Macaca fascicularis: one gene and its partners. The protein of the gene in region 2 interacts with the protein of the main gene of each other region in a biochemical or structural test. Links are inferred from orthologs where the notes say so. Each region holds a gene or a part of one and is shown on either strand. Other genes may lie near its edges. The genes, in order: ELF3, MED23 and SREBF1.

Region 1 (10,685 bases), on a different chromosome or scaffold from region 2:
CAGTCCAGGTGTCTGCAGGAGGAAGGTGTTGTCTGTATTTAGTGTCTGAGACTGGGTTTGAGGAGGCACCAGATTAAAGGAGACACATTTGCAGCTATACAGTCAGCTTCAAACCCCAGGGCTTGTAATTCCAAGAGAAGGGTGGGGAGGCGAGGCCATAGTCTCCAAGTCCCAGGATGATGGCTGACAATACACCAAAACTTCAGCTTCTCTCCACAGCACAGCTGGGAGCATTCCCCAGTGGAGGGGCCATCCGGCCTGCCTGTCCTCCCAGGAAGGTTTGCAGGCCTCAAGTGGTTGTGAGTTTGGTCCCGGGTATAGTTCCAACCCTCAGTTCCGACTCTGGAGAACCTCTTCCTCCTTCCAGCCACTTGAGTTTTTGCCAAACTTGTAGACGAGTCGCCGGCCATCCACCCGTTCCAGGATCTCCCGTTTGTAGTAGTACCTGGGTGGGGAGAAGGATGGTCAGAGGTGCTTAGGCAGGAAACGGGCCCCGAGTCGCCAGCCCTCCCACCTAGCCCGCGTTACCCCCAGGTGACCCATGCCCACTGGTATCTGCCTAAGCCGAGCCTGACTCACACTTCCTGAACTCCTCTGTTCTTCCCACCCGTAAGCAGAAGCTCTGTCCCTATACTGGCCAGTAACTGTGCCCAGGACACATGGCTCTCTGCCCTTGCTTCTTTGTATCCTATGGCTATGACTGGGGTCTGATCATTAAAGTACATGATTTTTAAGGCCAGGCAGCTGGGCACGGTGGCTCATGCCTGTAATTCCAGCATTTTGGGAGGCCGAGACGGGCGGATCACTTGAGGTCAGGAATTCAAGACCAGCCTGGCCAACAGGGTGAAACCCCCGTCTCTACTTAAAATACAAAAATTAGCCGGGCATGGTGGCAGGTGCCTGTAATCCCAGCTACTTGGGAGGCTGAGGCATAAGAATCACTTGAACTTGGGAGGCAGAGGTTGTAGCGAGCCAAGATTGTACCACTGCACTCCAGCCTGGTCAACACAGCGAGACCCTGTCTCAAAAAAAAAAAAAAAAAAAAAAAAAAAGAAGAAGAAAGAAAAGGCCAGGCACAGTGGTTCACACCTGTAATCCCAGCACTTTGGGAGGCCAAGGCAGGGCAGTCATTTGAGACCAGGGGTTTGAGACTGGCCTGGCCAACACAGAGACCCTTGTCTCTATTTAAAAAAGAAAAAAAGGCCGGGCACGGTGGCTCAAGCCTGTAATCCCGGCACTTTGGGAGGCCGAGGCGGGCGGATCACAAGGTCAGGAGATCGAGACCATCCTGGCTAACACCGTGAAACCCCGTCTCTACTAAAAAAATACAAAAAACTAGCCGGGCGTGGTGGCAGGCGCCTGTAGTCCCAGCTACTCGGGAGGCTGAGGCAGGAGAATGGCGTGAACCCAGGGGGCGGAGCTTGCAGTGAGCCGAAATCGAGCCACTGCACTCCAGCCTGGGCCACAGAGCAAGACTCTGTCTCAAAAAAAAAAAAAAAAAAAAAAAAAGAAAGTAAGTATATGATTTTAGGGCTGGATGGGACCTTAAGATGACCTAGTCTACCCCTGGACATAGGAGGAAACTGAGGCCCGGAGAAAAGCAAGCTAAGTGCTTCAATGAGGAGAAAGCCAGGCCCTGGGTGGGCACAGCTCCCACCCACTTCCCGACTCTCCAGGTGCCTTCCTGAGGACGAGCCTCACAGGTGATACAAGAAATGTTGCTGTTAGCTCAAGCACACTGTGTCTGCCATCCGCCAGGCTAATACTTCCTCCCTGTTGTCGTTTAATCCACCAAGTAGGCCAACCCAGATGTTGTCCTCACTCTACAGGACACAGCCTTGTTGCATGCAGCCAAGTGGCATCCAGGAGGAGGGCAGTGGGAGTGTGAGCACTGTCCCCGTGTCTGGCTGCATGGTGAGGGTCCTGGCCGCCAGCTCACCTCATGGCCCGGCTCAGCTTCTCATAGGTCATGTTGCTGTTCTTTTTCTTTTGGCCCCACAGTTGGGCCACAGCCTCGGAGCGCAGGAACTTGAAGACGCCTTCATGCCGATTCTCCCACTTCATGAGGCCCTCATTGAGCTCTGGGTGGATGAGGATGTCCCGGATGAACTCCCACAGGTGGGTACCTCTGGGTGCTACAAGGCCAGCCTCCGTCAGTTTGCCATCCAGGTGTCCCCTCTCACTCAAGGCCAGCTGGCCCTGCCCGCCCCGGCGCACTGCTGACTCGGCCACAGCATGGAGCAAGCCCCTCCAGAGTGCCTCTGTGTGGGTACTGCAGTGACTGCTTTTCTCCTCAGCCCACGTAAGCACCCACCAGCTGCCTCCTTACACCAAGGGTGTCCCAGAAGGCAGGACAGTGGCCAAGTGCAGAGAGGGCTGGAGTCAGTGGACAGGACTCTAGTGCCATGAGCCTCCCACTGGGAGCCTTATTTCCTCCTCCTCTCCAGGACCACCAAGCAAGGCTCTGTAATTAGGTGGTGACCAATACCATAGAGCCCCCAGCTTGTGCACAGCCTTAACAAAGGCCGTGTGGAGGCCAGAAAGAACGGCAGGAGGGATACCCACAATGACCCGCAGTGCCCGGGGAAGCAGCTCAGCCTCGGTGCAGGGAGGACCCAGGGGCCCCTGAAGCTCACCGTGCTTGCTCTTCTTGCCCTCGAGACAGTCCCAGTACTCTTTGCTCAGCTTTCGGGGCCGACCTCGTTTCCGCTTCCCGTGCTTGGGATCCCCCTTCTTGCAGTCAGGAAAGCCATCTGTGGGGGCGGTGGTGGAAGATCAAGGAGGGCAAGGGGGGAGTTAGGGAGAGCAGCCCCTCTATAGGAAAAGGCTGCAGAAAGAGCCGGGCCCTCTGTACACTGCTAAATGGGACACCCTCTTGGGGACCTCCCTCGACTCACCTCTGGGGAAGAGCTTGCTGTCAGTGGGATCCAGGTCCACGTCACTTCCACCGGAGTCTGAGGAGTGGGAGCTCCGAGAAGCACCAGTCCCTGGGGGGTGGGGTCAGAGTAAGTCCCCTGCCGGCCCACCCTCTGCTGAACCATGCTGCTGGCTCTCAGGACACACTTCCCAGCCTGTTCCTATTCCTGCCAGAACGCCTGAGTTCTGGTGCTGGGAGCCGGAGGGAACCAGGGACACTTTGGGGAAGGGAGGTTGTGGCCCAGAGAAGACTCTCACCTGCGGTGGAGACGTCAGAGCTGCCGGGGGAGGGGGCTCCTGCGCCACAGCTGCCGGGGTGGTAGGGGCTGGCTTGCTGACTGTCGTCCAGCAGCTCCTGGGCAAAGGGGCTGCCCTGGTCTGGGAAGAGGAGGTGAGAACTCAGAGAGGGCTCAGGGGACCAGACCAGGACAGGTGAGGCTGCCCATGGGTCTGATGACCTGCTGCAATTTTTCTAATTGAGGGAGGAAGAAGTCTGGGGAGGGGGTCATCTCTAGCACTCTGTGGAGGGGCAGGGATGGGACAAGACACGCTGGGGAAGGAAGGAGAAAACGGGTTCTCACCGAAGGGCCCTGGGTCTAGGGCCTCCTGGAAGGCCATGCCATCCTTCTCCAGCAGCTCAATGATCCAACTGAGCTCATCAGAAGAGCTAGAAGCTGACAAGGAAGGAAGGAAGGGTCACACTCCCTTCATCCCTCCCTGAAGAGTTCTCTCTGGCTGTGCCGCTGGCCCAGAGCTCCAGGGCCTGCCCACTGTCACACTGAACTCAACTCAGCTCAACATATGGAGCTGCTCCCCCGCTTCCAGGGGCCTGGACTCACTGAGGTCTCGCAGCTGGGCATGGAGTTGGTCCCCCAGAGGCCCAAAGACCAGACGCAGCTCCTCAAGGGCACAATTGCAGAGGGTGGCCCCGTCCATGTCACACCGTGAGAAGTCAATGGCGCTTGCGTCGTACTTGTTCTTCTCCACTTGGTAGCTGATCCAGTCCAGAACCTGTGTCTTCGACCAGAACTGGGGCTGTTCTCCCGACCAGCTGGTCTTCTCTGCAAGGGCCAGGCATGGCAACAGGCTCAGTCCAGACCACCCAGCAGACCTTACAGCGCTGTTTTGTTTCTTTGTTTGTTTGTTTGTTTGTTTTTTGAGACGGAGTTTCGCTCCTGTCGCCCAGGCTGGGGTGCAATGGCGCCATCTCGCCTCACTGCAACCTCCACCTCCTGGGTTCAAGCAATTCTCCTGCGTCAGCCTCCCAAGTAGCTGGGCTTACAGGTGCCCACCACCAAGATGGGCTAAAATATTTTTGTATTTTTAGTAGAGACGGGGTTTCACCATGTTGGCCAGGCTGGTCTCCAACTCTTGACCTCAGGTGATCCACCCAGCTCAGCCTCCCAAAGTGCTGGGAATACAGGTGTGAGCCACCATTCCCAGCCCACACAGCCCCATTCCTAGAGCACACTGGGGATTCACACCTCAGCCCTTGGAGCCATCCCAAGAGTAGGGGCAGGAGGTAGCATTCACAACACCCTTGTCCTGGTATCTGACACCTCCCTCTGACTGTCACAGCCCCACAACCCCCAGCACCTCAGTCACTACGTCTCAGCCTCTAGCCCTGGAATTCGTCCAGAGACCCTCCTCCCTGCCCATTCTCCCATTTGTCTAACAGGCCCTTAGATGGATCTGTCTCCCACTCCGTGCCCCATCCCACCCCGCTGAGACCCACCTGTACCCTCCAATGACATCTGGGGGTTGCTCAGGGTCAGCACCAAGTCATCGGCCCCAAAGGCGGCAGCAGGGGGAACAGGGGCCAGGGCGGAGTCCTCTGAGCTGTACATCGCACTGACGTAGTTGCTAAAAATGTTGCTAATCTCACAGGTTGCAGCCATGAGGCTACCTGTGGGTAGGGGGAGAGGGGATGAGGTTGGTGAGGGGACAAGGGTCCTCTCCTTACACTCCCAGCTACTCTGCTTTGCCCAATGATGGGCAAGAGTAGCCCCCAGGGGCAGGAAGATCATCAACTCTGCAGACACCCTCTCTTCAAGAAGGGCTCCAAGATCTCAGACCAGGGCAGGACCACAGAAGCCTCCAGCTGGACTTCCCTCCTCAGATCTCTGGGGCCCTGGAGTCAGACTGGCAGCGTCATGGCCATTCTGCCCTCCCAGAGACGATCTCTGTCTGTTCTTCGACACTTAGAACACCTACGCTCTTGCTCGGAGATCCTAGACTGGAGTGCGCAGATTCAGAACCGCAAATCCTCTGGACCCCTCTGCAGTTTCCCAAGAGCTGTTCTAGGGAATGACAGGCAGGGAATCCTACCGGAGTGGTGGAGTCCGGCTGTGGCAGGCAGGCTGGCAGTCAGGCTTAAGCCGCAGGTGGGAGAGAAATCCAGTTCTGCCAGGTAGCGCTGAGGTGTCTGGCCGCTGCGTTCCCCTACCTGGCTCTAAATAGAGCCTGGAGGGAGCTCCTCCCTGAGCTCAGGCCTTTATAGTACATCCCCTGCAGTAACCTGAGCTGGTGGCTCATTGGACGGAGGGGATTTCCTGGCCTTTAGACTGGGCTCCTGGCCCCAGGTGATTTGCATATTCAGTGCCACTTGGCCCGGATCTTAGCAGGCGGTGCTGGGAAATCAGGCCCGGCTGGTTTAATGATTGTCAGAGTCTGTCATCCCGCACCCTCTGGGGTTGGGCACAGGGCACTAGCCTGGGCAGGTGGCGGGAACATTGCTGGGGTGGGCATCTGTGCTTTCTGCTGCCCTCTGGCCCAGGAAAATCCTCCCAGGGGCCAGGCCAGAGATGGGCCAGGCAGGGGGAGGGAAAGTGAGGGACTGTGAACCTCTGGCTGACCTGGATCAGAAAGCTGCTGGCCCCTAAATTCCAGCGATTCAGCGACAAAGAGGCCTAGTAGGGAGAGGAGTTACTAGGTTTAGGGGTTTTTCCAAGAACACCCAGGACTCTGGCCAGGGGCTGGCAGGTGCTCCAGGCTCAACGCTGGGCAATACTCATGGATTAATTGGTGGTGGCTGGGCCTGCCAGCCTAGCCTTGGCTCCAGGGTCCCCACTAAAGGGGTCCTTCTCCAGCACTCAATCTGTTGGCAAGGTCTTCACTACCATCACCTGCCTGAACTCCATCCAAGCATCAGGGTTGCTGCAGTCACTCCTGAAGAGACCCGGCTCTGCTTGAAAGTTCTTCCCTCAGCGTCTGCTGAAGCCCTCCCTGCCGGAGTTGCCAGAATCCACACGGATAAGTTCATCCCTGCTCTCTGGACTCATCCAATCTCTGGTTCACTGGACCCAGTTTTCCGGTGCCTTCTGCTGCCCTCTAGTGGTCAGAAGCCTGACTATCTGGGTCACGTCATTCAACGAAGAGGGAACGCATAGTATTAATATATTTACCAAGCACTTTTCAACATATTCTCTCATTTAATCCTCACACCAAAAAAGTCCTGTAAAGAATGCATGGTTATTCCCATTTTATAGACAAGAAAGTTGCAGCGTGGAGGGTTCCCTTAGAATGGCTTGCCCAGGCCACACAGAGTTGGTGAAGGGGTGGGGCTGAGATTCACACCCAGGTATGCAGGTGTGTTGTACATGAAACCCTTGCTCTTTCCCTGCACAGGACTCAGAGTCTTCCCTCCCAGCTCCATGGTCAGAGCCCTTGCCTTCCCTGTGGGTAGAGTCCCCCATGTCTGTGGTTGTCTCTATGGACTCAGCCTGAAACACAATGGACAGGGTCTTATAGACCCTCCTTGAGATCCTGAATGGGGTAATACAGGTGGCTGAGGCAGGAGACTTGTAGCCAACATCTGCAACTGTGTCATCTTGGGTGAGACCCTTGGAGTCTGCGCTTGTTTCCTCATCTATAAAAAATGAGGTTGTCTGAATTCAATAATCCCTAAGATCGCTTCCAGATCTAGCATTTTGTTTGTTTATTTTGTTTTGAGGTGGAATCTCGTTCTGTCACCCAGGTTGGAGTGCAGTGGCGCGATCTCTGCTCACTGCAACCTCTGCCTCCTGGGTTCAAGCAATTCTCCTGCCTCAGCTTCCCGAGTAGCCAGGATTACAGACCACCGCCACACCCGGCTTTTTGTATTTTTAGTAGAGATGGGATTTCACCGTGTTAGTCAGGATGGACTCGATCTCCTGACCTTGTGATCTGCCTGCCTCGGCCTCCCAAAGTACTGGGATTACAAGCATGAGCCACCGTGCCTAGCCCAGATATAGATTTTTATGCATCTAAAAATGTGGGATCCGGTGGCTCACACCTGTAATCACTCCATCTCAAAAAAAAAAAAAAATGTAGGATCTGTGTGACCCACCTCCATTAATGCATAACTTGCGGAGTTCCTGGCCACCCTCAGCCAGGGTGGGTGAAATGGTTACTCAAACAAAAGGTGACTCCACCTTCCACAGATACTCCTTTCTTTAACTCTATAGCCTGAGGACAAAGAAAGTCCTGCCCAGAGAATCTGCTTCTTACCTTCCTCCTCTCTGAAGCGCCTGGGTGCCTAGGAGAGAGTTAATGTCCAGGATTCCCCCCCCAACCCCACCCCCACCCCCCACCCCCGCACTGGGACAGTGCAGGCAGGAGAGCCTGGGGCTCAGTAGGATTTTCCCCAGCCCTTCAGGGGGCCTCCCCCAAGGAGCCTGAGGCAGGCACACCCTCCACCCAGTCCCTCACCCAGGAATGTGGGAGAACCGGCTTCTAGCCCCAGGGCTGCTCACGTGCTCCCTGCCCTGAAGAGTATCTGGCTGGGGCTCCCAGGATGGCGGGGTGAAGAGGAGGATGTATGAGAAAAATGAGAAGGCTCTCAGCTCCCTTGCCTTCTTGGAGCTTCCTCACCGGTGACATGGAGCTGAGATAAGGAATCCCTACAGACTAGCAGCTTGAGATAAGTGGGAAAGACTGGATTGAGGTCAGTGCCTTGGAAGCATGGGGATGGGGGTGGGGAGAAGATTCCAGGATAGTGGTCAAGAGAGCTACGGAGCAGGATGCCAGGGGCTTCCCAGTACTCTGTGATGGCAAAAACAGCCCACTGGCCTCCCCTCTCCCCACAGAGCTTGCCCACACGGCAGCACAGCCTCATCTGTGGGATGGGAGGATGCCCTACAAAAGGACAGCCACATCCAGTAGGCCTGTCGGGTACAAAGGTGGCGAGTGAGGCAGGCTACACAGCTCAGGATACCCGTGCTATGAAATGGGAACCCACAAAGTTAGTGGAGTCACAGAACGGCTGTTAGAAGAAGGACTTCCAGCCTTTCCTTCCAGTGACCTTTCATGATTACTGGGCCTGTGGGTGCTATAGATTTTTGTAAAGAGCAAGGAAAGATAGCTACTGATAAGCTAGACACCAGGTTGGGGAGAGGGGGAGGCAACTGGATAGCCCTAAAATAGTCCTTGTCAATAACATATTGCCAGGAACAGTCCTGAAAGAGCCACAGGAGTTTGCTGTCAAAATGCCAGTGCCTAGAGTGTCTCTTCCGATCCTGGGCCTCCAGATCCCTCTCCTGTGACCCACATCGCCCTCTCTGATGGTGAAGTTGAGTGTGCCATGCATGGGGCAGAGGCCTCTCCAGTCGACCACTTGGTCACTAGTCCCTTGCTCTTGCTGAGTGAAAGCAAATGGACTCATTCCCGACCCTTGTGCAGGGGAGGGAGAAAGCCTGTTTGATAACCTAAAGCCAAGGACAGAGCAGAGCTGCGAACAGAGGCTGGTTCAGGGGTGCCCTGTATTTAAAGAAAGGCAACTGAAACACACTAAATATTTCTTCCAACCCTCCCCTCATCCCACTCCCAAACCCAGATTGCTAACTGTTTAGGTCCCCATGTTGAGGCCAGGAAATCAGAATTTAATGCTAAGTTCTAAAAGACTACTGATTACCACACCATTCAAATAGTCATCCAGGAGCAAAGACAGGTGAGGCCCAGTGAAGCCTTGGGGATGGGGAGAAGGGTAGAGAAAAAGTCGTAAGACAGTTTTTTATTTTTATTTTTGAGACAGGGTCTCACTCTGTCACTCAGGCTGGAGTTCAGTGGCACAGTCAAGACTCACTGTGGCCTTGACCTCTTGGGCTTAAGTGATCCTCCTGCCTCAGCCTCCTGAGTAGCTGAAACCACAGGCATGCACCACCACGCCCAGCTATCTTTGTGTTTTGTTTTTTTTTTATAGAAGTCTTGCTGTCACCCAGGCTGGAGTGCAGCGGCATGATCTCAGCTCACTGCAACCTCCACCTCCCAGGTTCAAGTGATTCTCCTGCCTCAACCTCCCAAGTAACTGGAACTACAGGTGTGCGCCACCATGCATGGCTAATTTTTGTACATATATAATTTTTGCAGTAGAGATGGGGCTTCACCATGTTGGCCACGCTGGTCTTGAACTTCTGACCTCAAGTGATCTGCCTGCCTTGGCCTCCCAAAGTGTTGAGATTACAGGCGTGAACCATCACGCCCGACCTTTTTTTTTTTTTTTTTTGGTAGAGATGAGATCCCACTATGTTGGGCAGGCTGGTCTCAAACTCCTGGGCTCAAGTGATCCTCTCACCTCAGCCTCCCAAAGTGCTGGGATTACAGGCATGAGCCACTGTGCCCAGCCCACTTTTGTTTTTTTCTTAGTGATGGAAATGATAATAGGAATGCTGCTGCAGGGAGAGAATTCAGCTGCTTCACGGAGAACTGGAATGCTATTCCTTTTTCATTTTCCTGTACCAGCTGTGCCATTTTGCCATATATTTTTTCATATGCATGGGTGGGACACCCACCTCCTTCACCCTGGCTGTTTGCTGAGGACAGGGAAACACTGTCATTCTCTGGGCTTCCCCCAGTGACCTTTCCTGAACAAACACAGTGGGGACCCCTGGTGGAAGAAATGTAATAGTCACTCAATCCATAACAATTTTTGCTTGAAAACTTTATTAAAATAAGGATTAAACCTGAAAAAAGAACAATCAGAATGCCAGCCCTTTGCATAAAATCAGCGAGAAAAAAGAAAAGAAAAAAAAAGAAAAGAAGAGAATCAGTCCTCTCCACTTCTTCCCAGAGACTTAGGCGGAGAGGCGGAGAGGCGGAGAGGCGGAGAGGTGGAGAGGCGGAGAGGCGGAGAGGTGGAGAGGCGGAGAAGGCCCGCTGCCCTGCAGAGCCCGCAGCCTGTAGCGGGGAGAGCTGTGGGCAGGTTCTCTGTCTCAGGGCTCAGTGGACTAGAGAAGTTCCCACCAGAGCACAGGCCCAAGAGTCACAGATACCTAAGCCTAGAGAACAGATTATCCTGAGGGAATATAAACTCCAGGAAGTTGATCAGAGAACAGGAATTTGGGAACAAACAATTATTCTGAAAGCCTGCAGAGCCTGAAGAGGCAGGGGCCATGCACACGAGCCTCTAACTGCCCTTGGGTGCCACGATCTGCTGGACATAGTTGACAACATTGCTGTGAAGCTGGGAGGCGGTGGACGCAAAGGTCTCCTTGGCGAGGGTCTGGGCCACCTCACTGCCACCCATCATTGCGTGGTACAGCGGAAGTGTATACTTCTGCTTCCCCTGCAAGAAACACACATACACATGCCTAAGAAGCTTGCCCGGTGGGTCTGTCCAGCCCTCCTGCCCCCAGTACCAGCCTAATAGCAGCCATGGCTAGGTGCTAAAAGGGATGTGGGTACCACAGTGGAATGAGGAGTTTCTTATCAGAAGTGCTCAAATTCTGGCATCTTCTTGGGGGCCAAAGATCCATGGAGATGGATCTCAATATGCATCCCAATCCATGCTAACT
Region 2 (9,984 bases):
ATTCATACTTCTGCTTTGAGGGAAGGTATCTTAGATTAAAGATGAAGCAGGACTGCCCGCCAGACACTTTGTTCCCACAGTGGCTGCTCCAGGACCTTCACATTTCCGTCACTGACCCTGCCACTCTCTAGTTACTATGCTTACAATTTTAGAGTTGTCTTTTTCTTTCAATATTCTCCTTATAATCAGCCAATCAAGTCCTGTTCCGTCTTTTGTGACCATTTGTCCCTTTTCTGTCATTTTCAATGCAACCATTGTTGCTTAGATACTAATCACACAACTGAGTTTTTTGACATGTCCTTGAAATGGCTTCCTCCTAAGATTGCTGCCAACTATAACTGGATGTATCTTTCTGAAATACTGTTTCCTATGCCATGATCATACTCAATAACTTCCAGTTGATTATTATCTGCAATTATAAAATCAGCCTAGCATTCAAGGTGACCTAAGTTAGGTACAATCTGTCTTTCCAACCTTATTTCTAGAACTCTCTGGTAAGAATTTTCAATTCAACCCAACATAGCAATTCTTCTTCAAATATACCTTATTTTATCTCCTCCATGATTTCCCCCAAATGATCCCTTCTGCCTCATATGCTGTCTTTTCCCTGATACTGCTACACAGTTCAAATCCTACCCATCCAAGAAGGCTGCCAAGATCTGTTTAGTTTATAGTAACATCACCCTGTTCTGAACTCACACTTTTGTTTGTATTTTTATGTTGTATATTTTATACTTCATGGCACCCTCCACAGTACTTATCCTCAAAACACTTCAATTTAAAAAAATTAAAATAAAACCTTTAGAGCCACTATTACCATCTGGTCCTGCCCAGCCCACTTTTGATAATGGAGGTATTAGATGAAATTAAAATTTGAAAAAGCTCACCATGAAATTTATATAAGCCTCCTAGGTGATCCAGTAGAGTCTCCAATGATTTGGATACTGGAAGCAACTCTAAAAATCTGTGGATTACTATATCAAATACTGGAAGGAATCGAAGACACACATTCCCAAAATAGATGGGCAGATAAGGAGACTGGATCTGTACAGGAGGATCCACCTGTTCCGCAAGGCCCTCAAAATACAACTTCTCTGGATATTTCTGTGGAATTGAGAAGATGATAAATGGTTAGAGCATTTTTTAAAAAATTCTCTTAAAAGAGCTAAACGTGAAAACATTTAGATTTTTTTTACAAGGAAACATTTTAAATTATACCTCATTACACTTAACTTCTTTTTATACAAGTACTTATGTCCACTAAACTGCAGTTTCAATTTATTCTCAATGTTACAGATATTCTCAAACCTTGAAGAAGTTTAGAGAGCTAACCTACTTCTATATAGAGCAGAGAAAAAACATTAGAACCAGAGAGAAAACGGCCAAATCAGTTCATCAAATGCTCAAGTATGGTTTTATAAAAGTATTATTTTAAATACTAATTAGAACTAGTACCTTGTGATAACTCATGTGCTTGGTGTGCCAGTCATTCTGTAACCAGTGCTCTGGGGAATTTTCCTTCACAAAGTCACTTACTCGATTTCGAAAATCGTTTGGTTTGAGTAACAGCAACTGAATTATGAAATAACAAACCTGGGCTTCATTTCCTTCATGACTACGCATGGCCTTTGAAGAACAACAGAAAAATTATATGAAAATGTTCAATCTGTGCGAAACCATGAGGGCCATTTGAAAGCCTAAATTTTAACAAAGTAAAATCTCACCACCATAATTTCCTTAGACGTCTAGTCTATCCCAAACCAACTGTTCAGTATTCCCCAAACATACATGACCTTTCTTGCCTATTTTGGTTTACTATTCCTTCTGCCTGGGATGTCCATCTTTATTTTTAAAAATTTAATCTGTCTTTCACATCTATCACCTAAGCAGATAAGATTTCTCACTGTTTCCTGGAAATATTTTTTCTGCACCTCCACCTTATCCTGTTATCTTATTGATTTATAGACTTACATTATTTCCCCTAAAATATAATAACTACTTTTATATCTATGCTCCACAGCTAAGGGGTTAACGTTAAACTATGCCACTCCAAATATCACCACCATACAATTTTTTTCAACGTGGCATTTTCCAGCCGACTTCAGCGTCTTTTTAAAAAATCTACCGGAAGGCTAGGCGCGGTGGCTCACGCCTGTAATCCCAGCACTTTGGGAGGCCGAGGCGGGCAGATCATGAGGTCAGGAGATTGAGACCATCATCGCTAACATGATGAAACCCCATCTCTACTAAAAATGCAAAAAAGTAGCCAGGCATGGTGGTGGGCGCCTGTAGTCCCAGCTACTTGGGAGGCTGAGGCAAGATAACTATGTGAACCTGGGAGGCAGAGTTTGCAGTGAGCTGAGATCACGCAGCCTGGGTGACAGAGCAAGACTCTGTCTCAAAAAAAAAAAAAAAAAAAGAAAAAAGAAATCTACCAGAAATAGACATCAAAGTCAAGAGAGAGAGAGAAAAAAAAAACATTTGGGGAATGTTTGCTACCAAAGTGTACAGAAATGGTTATATTAGCACTCTGTAAAGAAACACAGTGACTTACTGCTACTACCTGCCTCTAGTGGGAGTTTTGGAGAATCAACTCAAGGTCTAATAGCTCATATTTTTAGAGTATCACAAGGCTAGGACCACATCTATTTTATTTACTTCTATACCTTCTATACATAGAACACAGTTGATATTCAATATGTACTTATTAAATGAATGAATAAGGAAATTGGGGCCGGAAGCAGTGGCTCATGTCTGTAATCTCAGCACTTTGGGAAGCTGAGGAGGGAGGATTGCTTCAGCCCAGGAGTTCGAGACCAGCCTGGGCAACATGGAGAAACTCCATCTCTACAAAAAAGTTAAAAAGAAAAAAAAATTCGGTGGGTATGGTGGCATATGCCTGTAGTCCCAGCTACTCAGGAGCCTGAGGCGGGAGGAGATTGCTTGAGCCCAGGAGATTGAGGCTGCAGTGAGCCATGATCACGCCACTGCACTGGGTGACAGAGTGAGACTCTGTCTCAAGAAACAAAAAACAAAACAAAAAGAAAGAAATTGGAAAATTTGTAGTTCTTTAGGGAAGTGACAGCAATGCTTGATATAGTATAAATTCATTAAATGCTTCAAAGCAATATAGAGCAGATTGGCATAAGATATATTAGTCATACATCTTGATCTAAAAGAGCTTAGAAACATATATTTATTCTTACCAGGCAGAGAATTAATCTGTCCAGTGTAACAATGTTATACTTCCATACCATGTCATTAAGAATTTCAATGCATTTATTGAGTTGCTGACCCCCTGCTGATGTAGAAAACTCATATACCAGAAAATCTGCAAATGTCCTCACATGGGCTACCAAGGCCCTGGCTCCAATTCTCTCTAATACTCTGGAAGGCAGAGAGTAAAACATAAACTCCATTGTTGTATGGATACAACAATTTGCCAAATGGAATGCAAATTAGGTTTTTGACTTACCTATAGCCAATTTGATTAATATGATCTGTTTCCAAGAGCATTTTCCAGAGAAGACAAAGAAAGAGAGGAGGGGAGCCCTGCATAGAGAAGTGGGTAATAATGTCGTTTTCATTGCTCATTGACTTCCACTTCCTATACTCCTCCTCCACATTTTTTTTCAGATTAAAACGGCTTTCCTGAGGCACATTATTTTGTTTGAAGAACGCCTAAAAAGAGGATCAGAAGTTTATTTCATTGGTTATAGTAGAAAGAGCACTGGATATGCAGTTAATAAACCAGCTCTAGGCTTGATTCTGACATTAATAAACTTTAGGTGACCTTGAGCAATTGAGCAATTAAGGCCTGAATTTCTGTATCTGGAAAATACATAAGCTTAACTAGATTATCTCCAAGATTCCTTTTCCTAGATTTCCTAAACTGAAATTATAAGCAAGCCTGAATTTAAAGCTTCTTCAATCATCTGTTGATACTTCCACCAGTCTTAAAGAGAAAAAAAAGAATGAAATGTCTCCACCCTTTGGCTACATATGTTAGTGTCTCTAAGGAAAATCCACTGCACTAGCCCAGTGATTCTCAGAGTGTGGTCCCAACACCAGCAGTATCAGCATCATCTGGTCTTACAAGAAATGCAAAATTCTCAGACCTTATCCCAGATTTACTGAATCAGAAGCTCCGTGGCTGGGGCGCCAGCCATCTATAGCTTAGCAAGCCCTCCAGGTGATTTGGTAAATTTGAAAAACAAATGCTCTAGCCCTAACAGGAGTTACGAAAAATGGACGTTCATCATGCCTAACATTTTTTCTGAAAAGGAGAAGACAGATGAGGTTTGCCTTTCTCCCTACTAGAAAAGCCAGGTTTATAGTTTTTCTGGGAGTAAAAAAAAAAATTCAGTGAAGTGTCATATATGTGCACTCTGTGAAGTTCTATTACATTATACTTCTCCCCATTTCAGTTCTATGAGAGAGAAAAAATTTTCAGGTACTATGTTAATTTTCATGAGATTCTGAAACCATTAACTATTTTTTTCTCTTTTTCAAATTTTTTCACTTTTTTTTCCTCTTCCTACTCTTCCTTCCCTTAAAACTGTTACCTAAGGTGAAACCACAAAAATTAAACTTTTAGAAACATGCCCAGTCCCAGAGTAGGACACAGAACAACTTGAGAGATTTTGGAAGTAACGACAATTTTTTTTTTTTTTCCCCTAGAGATAGGGTCTGGCTCTGTCACCCAGGATGTGCTGCAGTGGTGTGACCATAGTACCCTGTAACCTTAAATTCCTGGGCTCAAGTCATCCCCCTTGCCTCAGCCTCTCAAGCAGTTAGGACTAGAGGCATGTGCTACCATGCCCAGACCCTAAATAATTTTTAAAATAAATAAAAGCTAATTTTATTCAGATGTCACCAAGACTCACTCTAGAACACCACTGTGAATGGGAAGAAGGATTTCATGTGTATTCAATAAGTAATTCAAGACAAAATTACCTGTAGTGGGCCTGGAAAACAGCTCAGGGTGTGTGAAGCCCAATTATGAGGAGTGAAACTCATGATGGTCTGAAGTATGTCTTTACACCAAGTTCCCTGAATTGAATCAGAGCCTGTAAAAAAATCTAAACATAAACAAATAGATGTAATCCAGATATAAGTGATTATGTCCACAACTCATAAAAGATTATGGCAAAAATAATAATTAAGTACACTGAGAATTTCACTGTAGTGCATTCATTGCTTAACTAGTTATATCCAGCTTAGAACCTAAATTTGCTTAGTTTCTGAGTGATCTGGATGATCACATTAGAAAATATGAGAACAATTTATGAAAAGATGACAAAAGACATTTGGAATCTCTTTTTTGAAGTTACAGAGTACCAGTGATAATGGTACAGGTCCACCACTACTGTTCATTTATTTTGACACTGATTTAGTAGTACTTTATTTGGCCAAGGGAACAGAATAAAGAAAGATGTCTTTTTTGGAGAGTGAAATAATTACATAATGCATGTATAAATCTCAGAATTGAAGAGGGTTCTTTACATAAAACAACATAATTTACATAAACGTATTTGAGGTTGCTAAAATCAGTAACTATCTCTTTAAAACATCAGTTCTAAAGTGTGGTCTTCAGACCTCTGAGGGATTCCCCAGTAGCCCTTCAAAGATTCAGTGAGGTCAAATAATAATAAAAAGATATCACTGGCTTTTTTACTAGATATGAGCACTGATGGTGCAAAAGCAATGGTGGTAAAACTGCTGGTCCTAAGCACAAATCAAACAGTGGTGCCAAACTAGATGAAAAGGCTTTGTATTCTCCACCACATGCACTCAGTAAAAGAAAAGTGCCAGTGTCAATCTCGACACTTATTTTTAATATCATATTTAACAAAATGGGAAGCATATGCCTAGTGTTCCAAAGTTTGATGGGTGTCTTGAGGAAAAACACTTGTGTGACTGACTACTGAGTTAAATCAGCTGCATTTTTTTTTTTTGAATTCCAATTTTACTTGAAAGAATGTCTGACAGAAAACTATAGTTAGCTAGACTTAAGTATTTAGCAGACATTTTCTTGAAAATTAACAAAATGAGCTTGTCACTTCAAGGAAAACAAATGATAGTAACTTTTACTAATGATAAAATTTGACCTTTTAAGTAAAAATGGAAATTTTGGAAAACATGTATCTACCACCATGACATGACAGCATTCTAAAACTTAGATTTTTCTAATAAACTTTGCAGTGATATTAACAAATGTAATTTTCTGATACTGTATGATAAAATGTCAACATTTGCTAGATCTACGTAACTCAGTGAACCAATATTTTCAAAATGAATAACTCATGAAGTTACAAAACATGCACGGATTTAAAAATCCACTAAATGTACAAAACAGATGTTCAGATTACAATGTAACAAAGTACGTGAAGTTCACTGATAGGGTTTTGGATTCCACATTGCAACTAACTTTTTTTTTTTTTTTTTGAGACGGAGTCTCGCTCTGTCGCCCAGGCTGGAGTGCAGTGGCGCGATCTCGGCTCACTGCAAGCTCCGCCTCCCGGGTTCACGCCATTCTCCTGCCTCAGCCTCCCGAGTAGCTGGGACTACAGGCGCCCACAACCGCGCCCGGCTAATTTTTTGTATTTTTAGTAGAGACGGGGTTTCACCGTGGTCTCGATCTCCTGACCTTGTGATCTGCCCGTCTTGGCCTCCCAAAGTGCTGGGATTACAGGCGTGAGCCACCGCGCCCGGCGCAACTAACTTTTAAGCAACTATCATTTTTCCATGTGATGTCAAAGAACATTCACAACGATCTGAAAAGGCTATTAAAATACTCCTCTCTTTCTAACCTCATCTGTGTGAGGCCACATTTTTTACTCACTTCAACTAAAACTTCAATGGATTAAATGTCTAAGCAGATGAGAATTCAAACTATGTCTTCCTTTACATCGGGTATTAGAGAAGCAAAAATGTAAAACAATGGTATCTCTTCTCACTAAAGTTTTGCTTTACAAAATATACTTTTTTCCATAACATCATATGCTAACATGTAATGTTTATTACTATTTAAAAACAAATTAATAAATATTTTTAAACTTTATTTTACTAATAGAATAAATATCCATAGATATAATCCATATAAACAGAAACTCTTTGGGAATTTCAATTTTAAGAGTGTAAAGCAGTCTTGAGACCAAAAAGCTTAAAGAATTACTACTTTAAAATTATGGAAGATAACTGAAAACTGATGCTCAACCCAGTTATTAATAGAATGATGTTACACAAAAGAGCTTCCATAAATGAATGAAATAGTGAAGATATCAAAACAACTGGCTTTTTTTGAACAAATGAAAAGTATCTTTTTAGTATGTTATACCCATAGTAATTAGTAGAATCACGGCACACTTTAATTCATCTGTTTTTGTTTGTTTGTAGTCACATAGTCACCGTACCTGTAACATGAGTTGCTCTAGCCAAGGTCAATATCAAGGCTCGGTTCAGTTCTTCAGATTCTGCTGAGAGCACTGTTTTGGGATCACTAAGGAAGCGTGTAAACTGCGGTTGTACCTCTGAGCTACCTAATGCTGTTATAAGCCTGAGAGCAGTGCTCTCGACACTGAAAAGTGGGAGAAAAAAAAGAAATGTAAAAAAATTTCAGAATTATAGAATTAAATCTAATTCTAAGGTTAATTACACTGGAAAAACATGCAATCTATATGACTATCCCTTCTTTAATTAAAAAAACACTTGTGTGTGAGAATAAATGTTGCTTAATTTGTTTAAAAAACCTAATGTGTCCAATTTTATAGTGAAAATCTTGACATTTTTACACATTTGAAAAAGATGACTTGTCGCCTATAGGACTAAAAAATTTCACCTGGAGATACTGCATTTCAAAAATTATATTTTTCTATCTAAAATATATTTTAATTTAAAGCAAAATCAATGTGACATGATACTTTAACCATAATCTGAAGTATACTTAAAAACAGCATTCTAAAGGGCTAAGTTACAACATAATAATAAATACCCTGAAAGTACTAATTCTCAGTCCAAAGATCCTGAAGCAAGAACTCAACTATCTTAATCAGTTTCTATTTAAAAAGCTGGACTCTGCTCCTATAATGGAAACAAAATACTTTAGAAGCAGAGAAGTTTTATGACAGATGAATTAAAAAAAAAAAAAAAAACCTATAAGGCAAAGGATTAAGAACCTCATCTCCAAGAAAGTTTCTAGTAAATCTTAAGGAAAGATGGCCTTCAATGAGCTCACCAAAGATGGAGCTGGTTCTGGTTTGTTTGTGCAACTGCAGCCAAAGTATGAAGATGACTCAGGAGCTGAACTCGGTAATGAGGCTGAATATGATGCATCCGGTAGCTAAACATCTCAAGGAGTGTATGTAAGATCCCCCATGCATGTGATTTGAAAACAGTTGGCAAAAGCTGACCTGGAGGAAAAAGACAATTTAAGGTACCAATTAGTAAAGGCTATGCATTAAAAGATAGTTGAAGAAAGTCACATTGAGTAAAATATAAAGATTTGATTGCGAAAATACACACGCACACACATATATATTCTCCACATTTTCTTATTTTCTACTTTAACAGTAAGGAAAAATTCGGATCCTAACTATAATATCAATTATTTTTTCCTGGGACTTGGCAAGTGATAATCATGTTTATCTGGAAAAACAAAATGAGACAAGATACGAAAAAGCATTAATCTTCTCAATTCTGGTATCTTTTATTTTTAGACAGTTAATGTTCCATACCTTTTGAAGTATGAGGTTCACTTTTTAATACAAAAAACTGTATTTTTACACCTGCCCTTGTTTCCTCCTACCCCCGAGAAAGTTTTATTCAACAATCAGTTATCTAGGAAGACTTACTATGGTTAAAATTAAAACTATGCTGTATTCATGAAAAGCTGGAATTATGATGAATCAGAAAAACACTTCTATATTAGAAAGTATCTATTATTTTAGAACTACATAATAAATAACAGACATTATAATGTATTTTCTGCAATCTAAGAGAATTCCTTCTTTACTGCCAGTCAGCCTTTTGTATGCACTGGAGGACAGCATTACTGCCTCAGGCAGAATCCATTTGCATGAGGACAGGGACCATGTCTATCCTGCTCACCACATCCCAGGCACCTAGCACATTAACCTTTTCTTACCACTTTACCTAAAAATGCAACAACCCCCCCCTCCCACCCTCAAACTTCCTATTCCTTTTTGCTTTATTTTTCTCTATAACATGTATCACCTGACATATTATATATTTCATTTATTTAACGTCCCCCTCCATAAGCTCCATCATGGTGGTGACTTGTTCTCTGCTGTGTCCCCGGAACTAGAAAAGTACCTTTAGAGTTAATGAATGGATTAATAGTTATAAACACCAGAAAGTCCTGTCTTACTGATAAATCCTTTGATGCCCAAAGACTCTATTTCCATATAGACCAATAAACGACTGTAAGTTTCCACTAGGGCTGGAGCCAAGGCCACACTGGACTTTGCATGAGCAAGTTTTATCACCCTGGTTGCAATGCTGTGAATAAGGCTGAGGAGAAAAAAGGGAAGAAAATAAAAATCCATATTTTTGACATAAACATAGGCGCTACTCTACTTAGAAGTAACTTAGTATAATTTGAACTTAAATGATTCAAATGAAGTTGATTCATTTAATGTGTTTAAATTGTGCAGGACACTTGGTAAGGATGCACTGCACAACCTGAGACTCATTCCGATTTCCATGGTGCTTTCAATATGCACACGGATCCCCCTGCTCATGGGAAAACAAACTTTGGGTTCAACTTATAAGAGGAAGCTTGAGAGATTTTGGTTACTCAAATGATGCATCAAAATACATTTGGGAAATTAAATAACTTCTGTCACAGATTTACTTTAACACATCATAGCTAAGACCCAAATGTTAGGTTCTAATGAGGCTTTGCTCAAATCTGTTATACATGCAAGTGAAGCACATGTGTAATTCTATCACAATGGTTACCAC
Region 3 (10,577 bases), on a different chromosome or scaffold from region 2:
AACTCCCAGCCACCTGCCCACTGACTCCTTGGACCCACTCCCAGCACCCTCCTCTCCATCCCCCCAACCCTGTCCCTTCAGATGCATTAGGGCTGAACCCCTGGGGGCTCAAAGCCAGCAAATCCTATAGCCTCCATCTCCTGCTTTTCAGGGGAGGCCCCCACAGTTCAGAGAGGACAGGACACTTTCCCTAGGAGACACAGCAATGCGTGGTCGCACTGGGAGGGCTTTCTGCTGCCCTGGGGTTAGCTGGATGCCAAGAGGCATGGGAAGGGGAACATGTCTGATAGGAGAGACTCCCTCAGGCTCCACCCCTGAGGGGCCCTCAACATGGGGATGAGGGAGAGGAGGCACCGTACCAGAGCAGGCTGTGCCTGAGGTGCGGGTTCTGGATAAATGGGCAATATCACAGGAGGGGCATGTTTGGCAATCCTTGCAAGTCTTGAATGCGACACTGAGACAAGGGAACTGTTTTTGTTTTGTTTTGTTTTTTTTCAGTCAGAGTCTTGCTCTGTGGCCCAGGCTGGAGTGCAGTGGTGTGATCTCAGTTCACTGCAACCTCCGCCTCCTGGGTTCACACGATTCTCCTGCCTCAGCCTCCCGAGTAGCTGGGACTACAGGTGCCTACCACCACGCCTGGCTAATTTTTTGTATTTTTAGTAGAGACGGGGTTTCATCACGCTAGCCAGGATGGTCTCGATCTCCTGACTTCGTGATCCACTGCCTCGGCCTCTCAAAAGTGCTGGGATTACAGGTGTGAGCCACCGCACCCAGCCGAGACAAGGGAACTTTATCTCGGAGCACTGGGGAGCCATGAATGGTTGGAGACCAGGGGAGTTCAGTGCTGTGAGCTGGGGCAGTGACCAGTCTAGAGCTGTGTTTTCTAAGGAGTGCCAGTGCTTGGTGGGACTAGGGAGAGAAGTGGGGTGTGAAATATCCTGGGGAGAGGTATGGTGTGGGAGAGCGGGCCCCCAGTGTGCCCTACTAGGGCTGACCTGGACCCAGCAAACAGCCAGACACATGACTAGAAGCAAGGGCCTGTCGTGGCTGGGCTGGGCATGCTGGGAGGGACATCAGGGCGGGAGAACTCTGAGAACGGACTACTCAGGGTACGGAGACACCCAGAAGGGCTTTCTGGGAAGCAGCCTCTGACCGGGCTTGGCAGACATCTGGGGTCCGACAGACAAAGACCAGACATGACGGGGTCCAGGCAGAGGAAAGAGACCCCCGAGGCCCCCTTCCAGGCTCTCGGCCAGAACTCTGTTTCCATCTGCCTCTTCTGCACTCATAAGCTTGTGCAAAATCAGATCAATTAATCCTCAGCAGGGAGGTGAAGACTGCCACAGGCTTAATAATAATCCCCAACACAGGTACAGGGCCACTCTCCCAATCCATCCTTCCCCGACTGCCGCAAGGTACTCTGAGGTGCAGGACGAGACAGGCTCACCTGAGGTCTCGGTGCAGAGGCAGGACTCAAACCCAGGGGCACTCTACAGCCAGGGCAGTGCCTTCACCCACAGACGCAAGGACTCACGGAGGCCGCTCCATCCCCAAATCCATTCACAAGAGTTTGGCCATGGCAGGCAGCAGGACCGGATGGGGCCCAAGGCCCTTCGCTGGTTCACCAGGGCTGGTTCCCAGTCTGATGACTCAAACATTGCTCTGGACTGGGATGGGGAGGTAGTCACATAGCCTCTGATCCCTCTGTAACCCACCTCCAGGCCCCCAGAGTAGCCCCATGTGGAGCAGCCCCCCTGAACCCCTCATCCCCATTCTTTTTTTTTTTTTTTGAGATGGAGTCTCGCTCTGTTGCCCAGGCTGGAGTGCAGTGGCTGGATCTCAGGTCACTGCAAGCTCCGCCTCTCGGGTTCACGCCATTCTCCTGCCTCAGCCTCCCGAGTAGCTGGGACTACAGGTGCCTGCCACCTCGCCGGCGAATTTTTTTGTATTTTTAGTAGAGACAGTGTTTCACCGTGTTAGCCAGGATGGTCTCGATCTCCTGACCTCGTGATCCGCCCACCTCGGCCTCCCAAAGTGCTGGGATTACAGGCTTGAGCCACCACGCCCAGCCTCATCCCCATTCTTAGGAGCCCAGTGATTAAGAGCTTAAGAGCTAGGCTCTGGAGCCCACAGCCTGGGTTTGAATCCTGGCTCTGCCATCATCTGGCTGTGTGATCTCAGGCAAGTCACTTAACCTCTCTGGTCCTCGAGGCCATCATCTTCATCATATGTCTACCTACTTGGGGTTGTCAGGGGATTAAGTGGGATCATCAACACAGTGTCTGGAGCACAGTAAGTACTCAATTAGTGTTTTCTGTTCACATTACAATCCTCCACCTGAGCAGCCAGAGGGAGCTGAAGCTCAGCGTGCCCCTGCTCTGACCCCCGGCCATCCCCACATCCAGCCCAGCTCTGCACTCTGGCACTCAAGGCTGTCCTGGCCCCCTCTTATCCCTCATGTCTCTCAAGGGACCTGGCATTTCCACCCCCAAATCTTCAGACCTTATCAAACCTGCTAAGCTCCACACCTGGTAGAAGAAGCTTCAAAAGCAGGCTCAACCTCTGACCAGCAATTCCCCTCCCAGAACCTCATCCTAGGAACACAGTGAAGATCTGGGCAAAGACTGGCCTCAGTGTCCACTGCAGCACAGTTTATAAAGATAAAACAACCTAGGTGCCCATTGACAGGGGATCAGGTGGGTAAATGAAGGAACCTGACTGTCATCTGGCTGATGACATGGAACCAAGCAGAATCCAATCAGCTGTGAACCAATGGACCCTATTTTAATTTATAAAAATGCAGATCCTGGCCAGGCACGGTGGCTCATGCCTGTAATCCCAGCACTTTGGGAGGCCGAGGCGGGCAGATCACCTGAGGTTGGGAGTTCGAGATCAGCCTGACCAACATGGAGAAACCTAGTCTCTACTAAAAATACAAAATTAACTAGGCGTGGTGGTGCATGCCTGTAATCCCAGCTACTGGGGAGGCCGAGGCAGGAGAATCGTGTGAACCTGGGAGGCGGACGTTGCAGTGAGCTGAGATCATGCCATTGCACTCCAGCCTGGGCAACAGGAGCGAAACTCCATCTCAAAAAAAAAAAAAAATGCAGATCTGGCCTGGCACGGTGGCTCACGCCTGTAACCCCAGCACTTTGGGAGGCCGAGGTGGGCAGATCACGAGGTCAGGAGATTGAGACCATCCTGGCTAACATGGTGAAACCCCGTCTCTACTAAAAATACAAAAAATTAGCTGGGCATGGTGGCGGGCACCTGTAGTCCCAGCTACTCGGGAGGCTGAGGCAGGAGAACTGTTTGAATCTGGGAGGTGGAGCTTGTGGTGAGCCGAGATCACACCACTGCACTCCAGCCTGGGTGAAAGAGCGAGACTCCGTCTCAAATAAAAACAACCCCCCCCAAAAAAACAGATCCATAGCTGCCTGGGGCTGGGAGCAGGAACGGGAAGTGACTAAACAAGCATGAGGGATCTCACTGTGAGATAAAAATGTTCTACAGCTAGTAATGGTCACACAACTCAGAAAGTTAACTAAAAATCATTGAACGATATACTTAAAATTGATAAATTTTGTGATACATAAAGTATATCTCAATAAAGTTGTTTTAAAAAATTGATGAAGGCCGGGCATGGTTGCTTACTCCTGTAATCCCAGCACTTTTGAGAGGCCAAGGTGGGCAGATCACCTGAGCTCAGGAGTTCGAGACCAGCCTGGCCAACATGGTGAAACCCCATCTCTACTAAAAATACAAAAATTAACCAGGCGTGATGGCACACGACTGTAATCCCGGCTACCTGGGAGCTGGAGAATCTCTTGGACCTGGGAGGCAGAGGTTGCAGTGAGCTGAGATCATGCCACTGCACTCCAGCCTGGGCAAAAGAGTGAGACCCTGTCTCCAAAAAAAAAAAAAAGTCTATGAAGAGTGTGCAGCCATTCCCCAAACACACACACACACACAGACAGAGAGAGAGAGAGAAAAAAAAAGAGAAGAAAAGCTCTTTCACATAATTAGCAGAGCTTATCTCTGGGTGGTAGGTTTAAAGTTTTTTTTTTTTTTTGAGACAGAATCTCACTCTGTCACCCAGGCTGAGTGCAATGGCACGGTTATAGCTCACTGCAGCCTCTAAATCCAGGCTCAAGCAATCCTCCCACTTCAGCCTCCAGAGTAGCTGAGACTATAGGCACGTGTCACCCACACCCAGCTAATTTTTTATTTTTGTAGAGACAGGATTTTGTCATGTTGCCCAGACTGGTCTCAAACTCCCGCACACAAGTCATCCTCTTGCCTCGACTTCCCAAAGTGCTGGGATTATAGGCATGAGCCACCACCCCTGGTCTAAAGATTTTATTTTCTTCTTTTTGCTCACTTGTGCTTTCTAATTTTTCTACACTGAAAAAAAGATGTGTAATTGGGAAGACAAACAGGAAGTTTGAATAAAAACTGAAAAATCCTCTACTGAAGTGGGTAAAGCTGAGGCTTGCCTAGTGAGAAGGGGCTGCCCCCACTCTCTCATAGACTAGACCTTGGGCCACATGGCTGCCCATGCCTGGCCTTTGGGTCTGGAGAGGCAGTGTTTTTATTCATGAGTCAGTAAGAAAGGTCTGTTTCAGACCTGTGGCCCAGACCCGATTCTGTTGTCCAACTTGCCCATGAAGGGAGGGTTTGCATCCTCATTTTTCTGGAGGTGGAAACTAAGGTTCAGAGGGTGAGAGGGCTTGAGCAGGATGATAAAGGAAATGAGGAGTGTCCAGGTTCAACCTCTGACCCCAAAGCCCATGTCCTCCTGGCTTGGTCACGTTGCCTCTTGGACTACACTCACTGGGCCCAGGGATGTGGAACTGGTAGTTAAGCCCAGATCTCCCTAGGGCTTGGGATTTCAGGGTTCATCACTCCAGAGGGCAGTGAAGGACAACCCCTCATGCCAGGGATAGGGGAGGCTGTTTTGGAAAAGCCTCACAATCAGGGCCTCTCCTCTGGGGTCCTCCCCTAGCCCAGCCCCAGTGGGAAGGGCTGGGAAGCTCCTGGGGCAGGCAACCAGCTGGGTGATCTGCAAGGCTGCAGTAGGGCAGGAGTGGGGGTGGCATAGATGTATCTATTTTGCCAACCCCAGGGTGGCCACGGGTTCCATGGACATGTCCATTCAGGCTGTGAGTCTAGGCATCTTGTTCCTGCGACCTTGGCCTCAGTTTCCTCATCAACCAAGTGCAACTTAGCCAGTGTTGTTAAAACTCCTGCACAGAAACCATGGAGGCAGTTTGCTAGGGGCTTCCTTTTGCTCTGTCTACAAAATGGAAGCAACGGGCCTCCTAATTGGCACTTGGTGCCACCGTTGGCCCCTTCTCATCACAGCCAGAGTGGCGCTCCAAAGATGGAAGCCGGTGCCACTGTCCTGCTCTGCCCTTTCCCTGGCCGACCAAGTCGGTTCGCGTCCTCCTCCTCCCTGACCTCACTCCCTTGCAAGCCTCTAACTCCTCACACTTACGCCCTGCCTCGAGGCCTTTGCCCTTCCCTTGCCGTGGCCTGGAAAACATCTTTCCCTGCTGGTCCTGGGGGTGACCCTCAGGTCTCAGCCTAGAAGTCCTTCACTGCTCTGCCCAAAGTAGCCACATCCCTGCCCTGCCCTCCCCGCCAGCCTCGCTCCACCCAAGGTGCAACTAAATACCCGTTTGGTTTCCTGGGGGATTTTTGTGTTCCCGAAAGAGGGGGTGCCCAGGTCTGTCTGTGCCTAAGACGGGGCCTGGCATTCAGTGGATGTCAGTGAATGGGTGCGGAGGCGATTCCCGTCGCAGACCTGGTGAACCCCACCAGAGGCGGGGGAAGGGCGCGAGGCAGCGCCAGTGCGCATGCGTAAGAGCTCCGACGCTGAGCTGAACTCTCGGGCCGGAGGGAATGACCGTGAGTAACCTCGCAATTACGTCACGGCTGGGGCTGGGGCGGAGCTTCGGCGACGCCCGGGTCCCCAGCTCCAGCCGTGGCCACCACAGGGCTGAAGAGTCACCGGTCGGGCGGCACCCGGCCTGGGACGCGTAGGGGCGCACGTGTCCCGGCCCGGAGTCGCCAAGGGACCCCGGCCCGGCCCAAGAGCCCTCACCTCCGAGCTCGCGGCCCGAGACGCTAGGGCGGGAACCAGGGAGGCTCGGCTAGGCCCGGGACACCGAGGCGCACGGCACGCAGCTCAGAGACGCCGGGAAGTCCAGCGCGAGCACAGCACGGAGCTGGCGCCCGCGGGGGAGACAAAGGACAGGGAGGCACCTGCGCGCCCCCCACTCGCGTCACCCGGCGCGGCTTCGAGCCCTGCCCGCCCTGACGCACCTTCGATGTCGGTCAGCAGCGCCGCGTCCAGATCGCACGGCCCGCCCAGCGCCTGCTCCAAAGCCGCCTCGCTGAAGGGCGGCTCGTCCATGGCGCAGCCGCCTCCTCCGGGAGGCCCGCCGGGCCCGCCGCCTCGTACGGTCCTTCCCAGGGAGCGCCGCCGCGGCCCCGGCTCGCAGTTGCCGCCGCCGCTCCGCGCGTTTGTGTCCTGCCCTGGCCTCGGAGGCGGCCCGGCGCCCGCGAAAAGTTCCACGGAAACTGGGTTCCCCCTGCTGCGGCTCCGCTGGGCGGTCGAGGCGGAGGCGGGGCCTTTCGGGAAAGCCCCGCCCTCCCAGATAGACGGCCCCGCCCCACCTTGAAAGAAGCGGGGGACCCCTGATCCCCGGTCTGCGCCACAAATCTCCCCTCAGCCGGCCCCTCCTCCAGAGCGCCCTCCAGTCATTCATTTTATCCAGCCTCGCGCACAATGGCAGCGGCTTCTGGCCGGCTGCTGCAGGAACGCGGGCAAGCCAAGCCCCCTCTCTGGTCCTCTGTTTCTCCAGCACCAAGCAAGAGAGCTGAGTGGAAGCCCCAGGCCTGGGCCCATCCCAAACCTCATTTCCTCACTTCCTAGATTTGACTCTTTACCACAGGACAGGGCAGGATCCAAGTTATAGGGGTCTCAGGCCTGCTGTGTTGTGAGCAGGCCTGATGTAACTGCTGGGCCAGTTACATCACTCTGCCTCAATTTTCCTCATTTGTAACATTGGCCTAATGATGCTTCCTCACGGGTTGGCTGGGAGGCTAGTGACAATGTGGAGGGGAGCATGACCTGTGAGATCAGCCTGCCCCCTCTCTGCAAAAAAACCAGAAGATTGGCCTCTTGAGGACAGCAGTGGCCAAAGAAAGAGGCTGGAATTTCCTATCGTCTTCATTTGGTTTCCTCCCAGATCCAGCTGTAGGGATAGGATACCAGTGGGCCCAGTGCAGCTCCTGAAGGAGGAAGCCAGTACCCAAGGAAGACTGGCCCCAGGACTGTCTGACCCCAGATTTGGTACTTGTTCCCGGGAGCAGTCAGGATAGGGGCCACAAGGAAGAGGTGGCTGTGCTTTAGATCAGAGCCAGGCTGCCCTGGATCATGACAAACTGGGACTAGGTCAGAGCAGGCAGCCCTGTTGAGAAGGGGGCTGGAAACCAAACCTGGTTCTGTGGCCTAGGGACAGAGCCAGGTTGGGGCAGGAAGGAGGGATGGGGTCCCAATGAGGTGGGTTGAAATAAACCGGAATTAACATTCAGGTATCTGAATGTGATAAGGCAGTGAGCTCCCTGTCCCCAGAGGTATGCAAGCAGAGAGAAGCACCCTTGGTGGAGGCCAGCCCAGGAAACTCATCAGGGGCCTGGGCCTCAGGCCTTCCTGACCCCAGACCTTCATGAGTCAAGCCATCCTGCGGACGGCCTTGCTCAGACTCCAGATATAGCCTGTCTGACCACGCCCTAAGCAGGAGTAAAATTCATGATGCATTTTAGAAGGGGTGTGTGGGGGAGAGAAGCCACAGAGCCCAAGTCCCTGGGGCTCAGCCTGGACATCCAGCTCCCTTTGTTCCTCTCCCAGAAGTGGCTGCAGTGGAAAATTACGCAGAATAGGGGAGCCAGAAGTCATAGGGGTCACCAAACCACATCTCCCCAAGTAGCTCTGCTCAAGGGTCCACCCAGGACCCACTCCCTCCAGATGAACAACTGCTGGAGAACACAGAGAACAAAGCTGGCTTCTCCTCAGTGCCCTACCCCCACCAACACTCTGGAGGCGGCAGGAAGCCGATGATTTCCCTGAAAATTTCAACAGCCCTTCCCAGGGAGGGGGTGGGATAGGAAGTACTGGGTGAAGCCTAAATACCATTTTCTTCAGAGCTAGGCAGGTGATCTGGGTTTGCACCTGCTTGCTGCGTGACCTGGATCCACTTACCTCACTTCTGAGTCTCAGCTACTGGATCTGTAAAATGGGAATAACCCTTCCTGCAGTCACTGCAGAGGCAGGGAGGGTGCTTTGGAGTCATCATCACAACAGATCTGCCTCACTGTTTTTTGTTTTGTTTCTTGTTTTGAGACAAAGGCTCACTCTGTTGCCCAGGCTGGAGTGCAGCGGCATGATCTCGGCTCACTGCAACCTCCACCTCCTGGGTTCAAGCAATTCTCCTGTCTCAGCCTCCTGAGTAACTGGGATTACAGGCACATGCCACCATGCCAGGCTAATTTTTGTAGTTGTAGTAGAGACAGGGTTTCACCATTTTGGCCAGGCTGGTCTTGAACTCCTGACCTCAGGTAATCCACCTGCCTCGGTCCCCCAAAGTGCTGGGATTGCAAGTGTGAGTCACTGCACCTGGCTATCACTGTTTTTTGTTTGTTTGTTTGTTTTTTGTTGTTGTTATTGTTTTTGAGACAGTCTCGCTCTGTTTCCCAGGCTGGAGTGCAGTGGCACAATCTCGGCTCACTGCAACCTCGGCCTCCCGGGTTCAAGCAATTCTCTTCCCTCAGCCTCCTGAGTAGATGGGATTACAGTCATGCACTACCAAGCCTGGCTAATTTTTGTATTTTTAGTAGAGATGGGGTTTTGTCTTGTTGGCCAGACTGGTTTCAGACTCCTGGCCTCCAGTAATCTACCCACCTCAGCTTCCCAAAGGGCTCGGATTACAGACGTGAGCTACTGCACCCAAACCGCCTCACCATTTTTTAAATGGGTTACCACATATGTAAATAGAATAGCTCAATAAATATTCACTCCATAACTGCAGGAGTTAGGGTAAAGGGAAAGAAGGCAAGACAACGTCAACAGGAGACCTGCACCCCAGAAAATCCAACCCCCATGGGGCACAGTCCAACGTGGGGGTGGGAAGAATTTTGCCTGGAATTACCGGGGCAACCCTCAAGGTGAGGGTAGGGGAAAACAGAAGTGGGGATCCATTTTTCAGGGGGAACATGCTTGTCTTGGCGGTTTCTCCCCTCAAAGATCCTGAGACCTCCAAGCAAGACCCTCGGGCCCCGCTTGGCTGGGGAGCGTTGAGCACGCCCAAGGAACGTGGACACAAGCCCCTCTGTACTGGTGTGTCTGTCGGGTCAGGGATCCAGCCTGGCCCACGGTGACCCGGGCGGGCAGGTTCCGCTCAGTCTACTCGCTGAGCGCTGGCAGGGTGCTCAATGCTGTTTAAACCCAGTCACTCCTCTCGACAGCCTCAGGCGGTTGAGGCTGTTACCATCCCATTTTACAGCTGAGTAAATTGAGGCACGCGGAGTGGGGCGGTGAAGCGACTTGCTCAGGACGTCACAGCACTGCTGCCCCTGATTTTGTCGGGGCTGGAGGCAGCCGGAGAGCCGGGCCGGCTCAGCACACGCGCCGTCCAGGGCAGCGGGTGGAGACCCAGGGGAGCCGGGGCGCGGAGCCAGACCAGCCCCGCCCCCGCGGGTCCGGCGCAGCCAATGGGCACCCGGCCCGGAGTGGGGTGACGCGGCGTCAGCGCGTACTCCCGGGAGCCCAGCCCTGGGTCACATGCGCTGCGCCCGCTCGACCCGGGAGGCAGGGAGGGGCGGCGGGGACAGGCTGAGCTCAGCCCCCAGGCCAGACACCTGGCCGGGACGACCGCCAGGTGAGCGTCGCGGGCACGGAAGGGCTAACACGGGACAGCCCCACCCGGGACTGCGTGGCGCGCCCAGAGCAGAGAATTCCTCCCAGGTCACCCAGCCCGGCCCCTGCCCAACCTCGGCGTTGCCATCTGGGAGATAGGGGTTCGCATCTCCCCGCTTCCTCCAAGTCTCTTAGAGACTGAGAGGCAGCTTCTGTGGGTTTCGGGCCTTTTCGGGCAGGCGTCCAGCGCGGGCAGGGCCTCTTCCCAGGCCACTCGTCCTGTCCAGACATGCCCTCGGTGCCCGGAGCTCAGCGGTGGATGGCAAGGCGGGCACTGGGCAGAAAGACTGGATTGTCCACCCTAGCCATTGCCTAGGCTACTGAAACCCCTCCCCCCACTCCCAGAGCCCCCTGCCACCCTGCCTGGCCCTGCATATCCTTCACTGCTGTGGGAGCCAAGCTGGGACCTGCCCAGGTTATGGCGGAGGGACCAGGCTAGGAGAAGAGACTGCTCAGCGCCTGAGTCTCCCCTCCCCCACGTCTTCATCTGTATATAACGGGGTGAGATGACTGTTGACATGGATGATTCTGGTCGTAGATGATGCTCCTGGTCTCATTCCAGCTTGGGCTCTGTGGTGAGCTGGGCAAGTTCTGT

What was found.
Region 1: the proteins of MED23 (region 2) and ELF3 form a complex in vitro, tested with the Homo sapiens proteins (4 studies listed by BioGRID, with this or other methods). The link is inferred for Macaca fascicularis from reciprocal best matches to the Homo sapiens genes MED23 and ELF3.
Region 3: the proteins of MED23 (region 2) and SREBF1 form a complex in vitro, tested with the Homo sapiens proteins (2 studies listed by BioGRID). The link is inferred for Macaca fascicularis from reciprocal best matches to the Homo sapiens genes MED23 and SREBF1.

What each region holds. Positions count from the first base shown.
Region 1 is NC_088375.1:59,750,287-59,760,971, reverse strand, and holds the start of ELF3 (ETS-related transcription factor Elf-3), read right to left. Parts: upstream 5,187-10,685; 5' UTR 4,944-5,186; coding exon 4,652-4,943; intron 3,978-4,651; coding exon 3,756-3,977; intron 3,591-3,755; coding exon 3,498-3,590; intron 3,295-3,497; coding exon 3,175-3,294; intron 2,988-3,174; coding exon 2,898-2,987; intron 2,754-2,897; coding exon 2,637-2,753; intron 2,136-2,636; coding exon 1,940-2,135; intron 446-1,939; coding exon 331-445; 3' UTR 1-330. Other genes in the region: RNPEP (aminopeptidase B), read right to left, coding at 10,298-10,456. UniProt on the Homo sapiens protein: Transcriptional activator that binds and transactivates ETS sequences containing the consensus nucleotide core sequence GGA[AT]. Acts synergistically with POU2F3 to transactivate the SPRR2A promoter and with RUNX1 to transactivate the ANGPT1 promoter.
Region 2 is NC_088378.1:35,567,206-35,577,189, forward strand, and holds part of MED23 (mediator of RNA polymerase II transcription subunit 23), read right to left. Parts: intron 9,532-9,984; coding exon 9,389-9,531; intron 8,412-9,388; coding exon 8,237-8,411; intron 7,580-8,236; coding exon 7,416-7,579; intron 5,082-7,415; coding exon 4,957-5,081; intron 3,682-4,956; coding exon 3,476-3,681; intron 3,388-3,475; coding exon 3,207-3,387; intron 1,627-3,206; coding exon 1,456-1,626; intron 1,105-1,455; coding exon 888-1,104; intron 1-887. UniProt on the Homo sapiens protein: Required for transcriptional activation subsequent to the assembly of the pre-initiation complex. Component of the Mediator complex, a coactivator involved in the regulated transcription of nearly all RNA polymerase II-dependent genes.
Region 3 is NC_088390.1:17,937,487-17,948,063, forward strand, and holds the start of SREBF1 (sterol regulatory element-binding protein 1), read right to left. Parts: upstream 6,588-10,577; 5' UTR 6,419-6,587; coding exon 6,328-6,418; intron 1,668-6,327; exon of another isoform or gene 1,448-1,667; intron 1-1,447.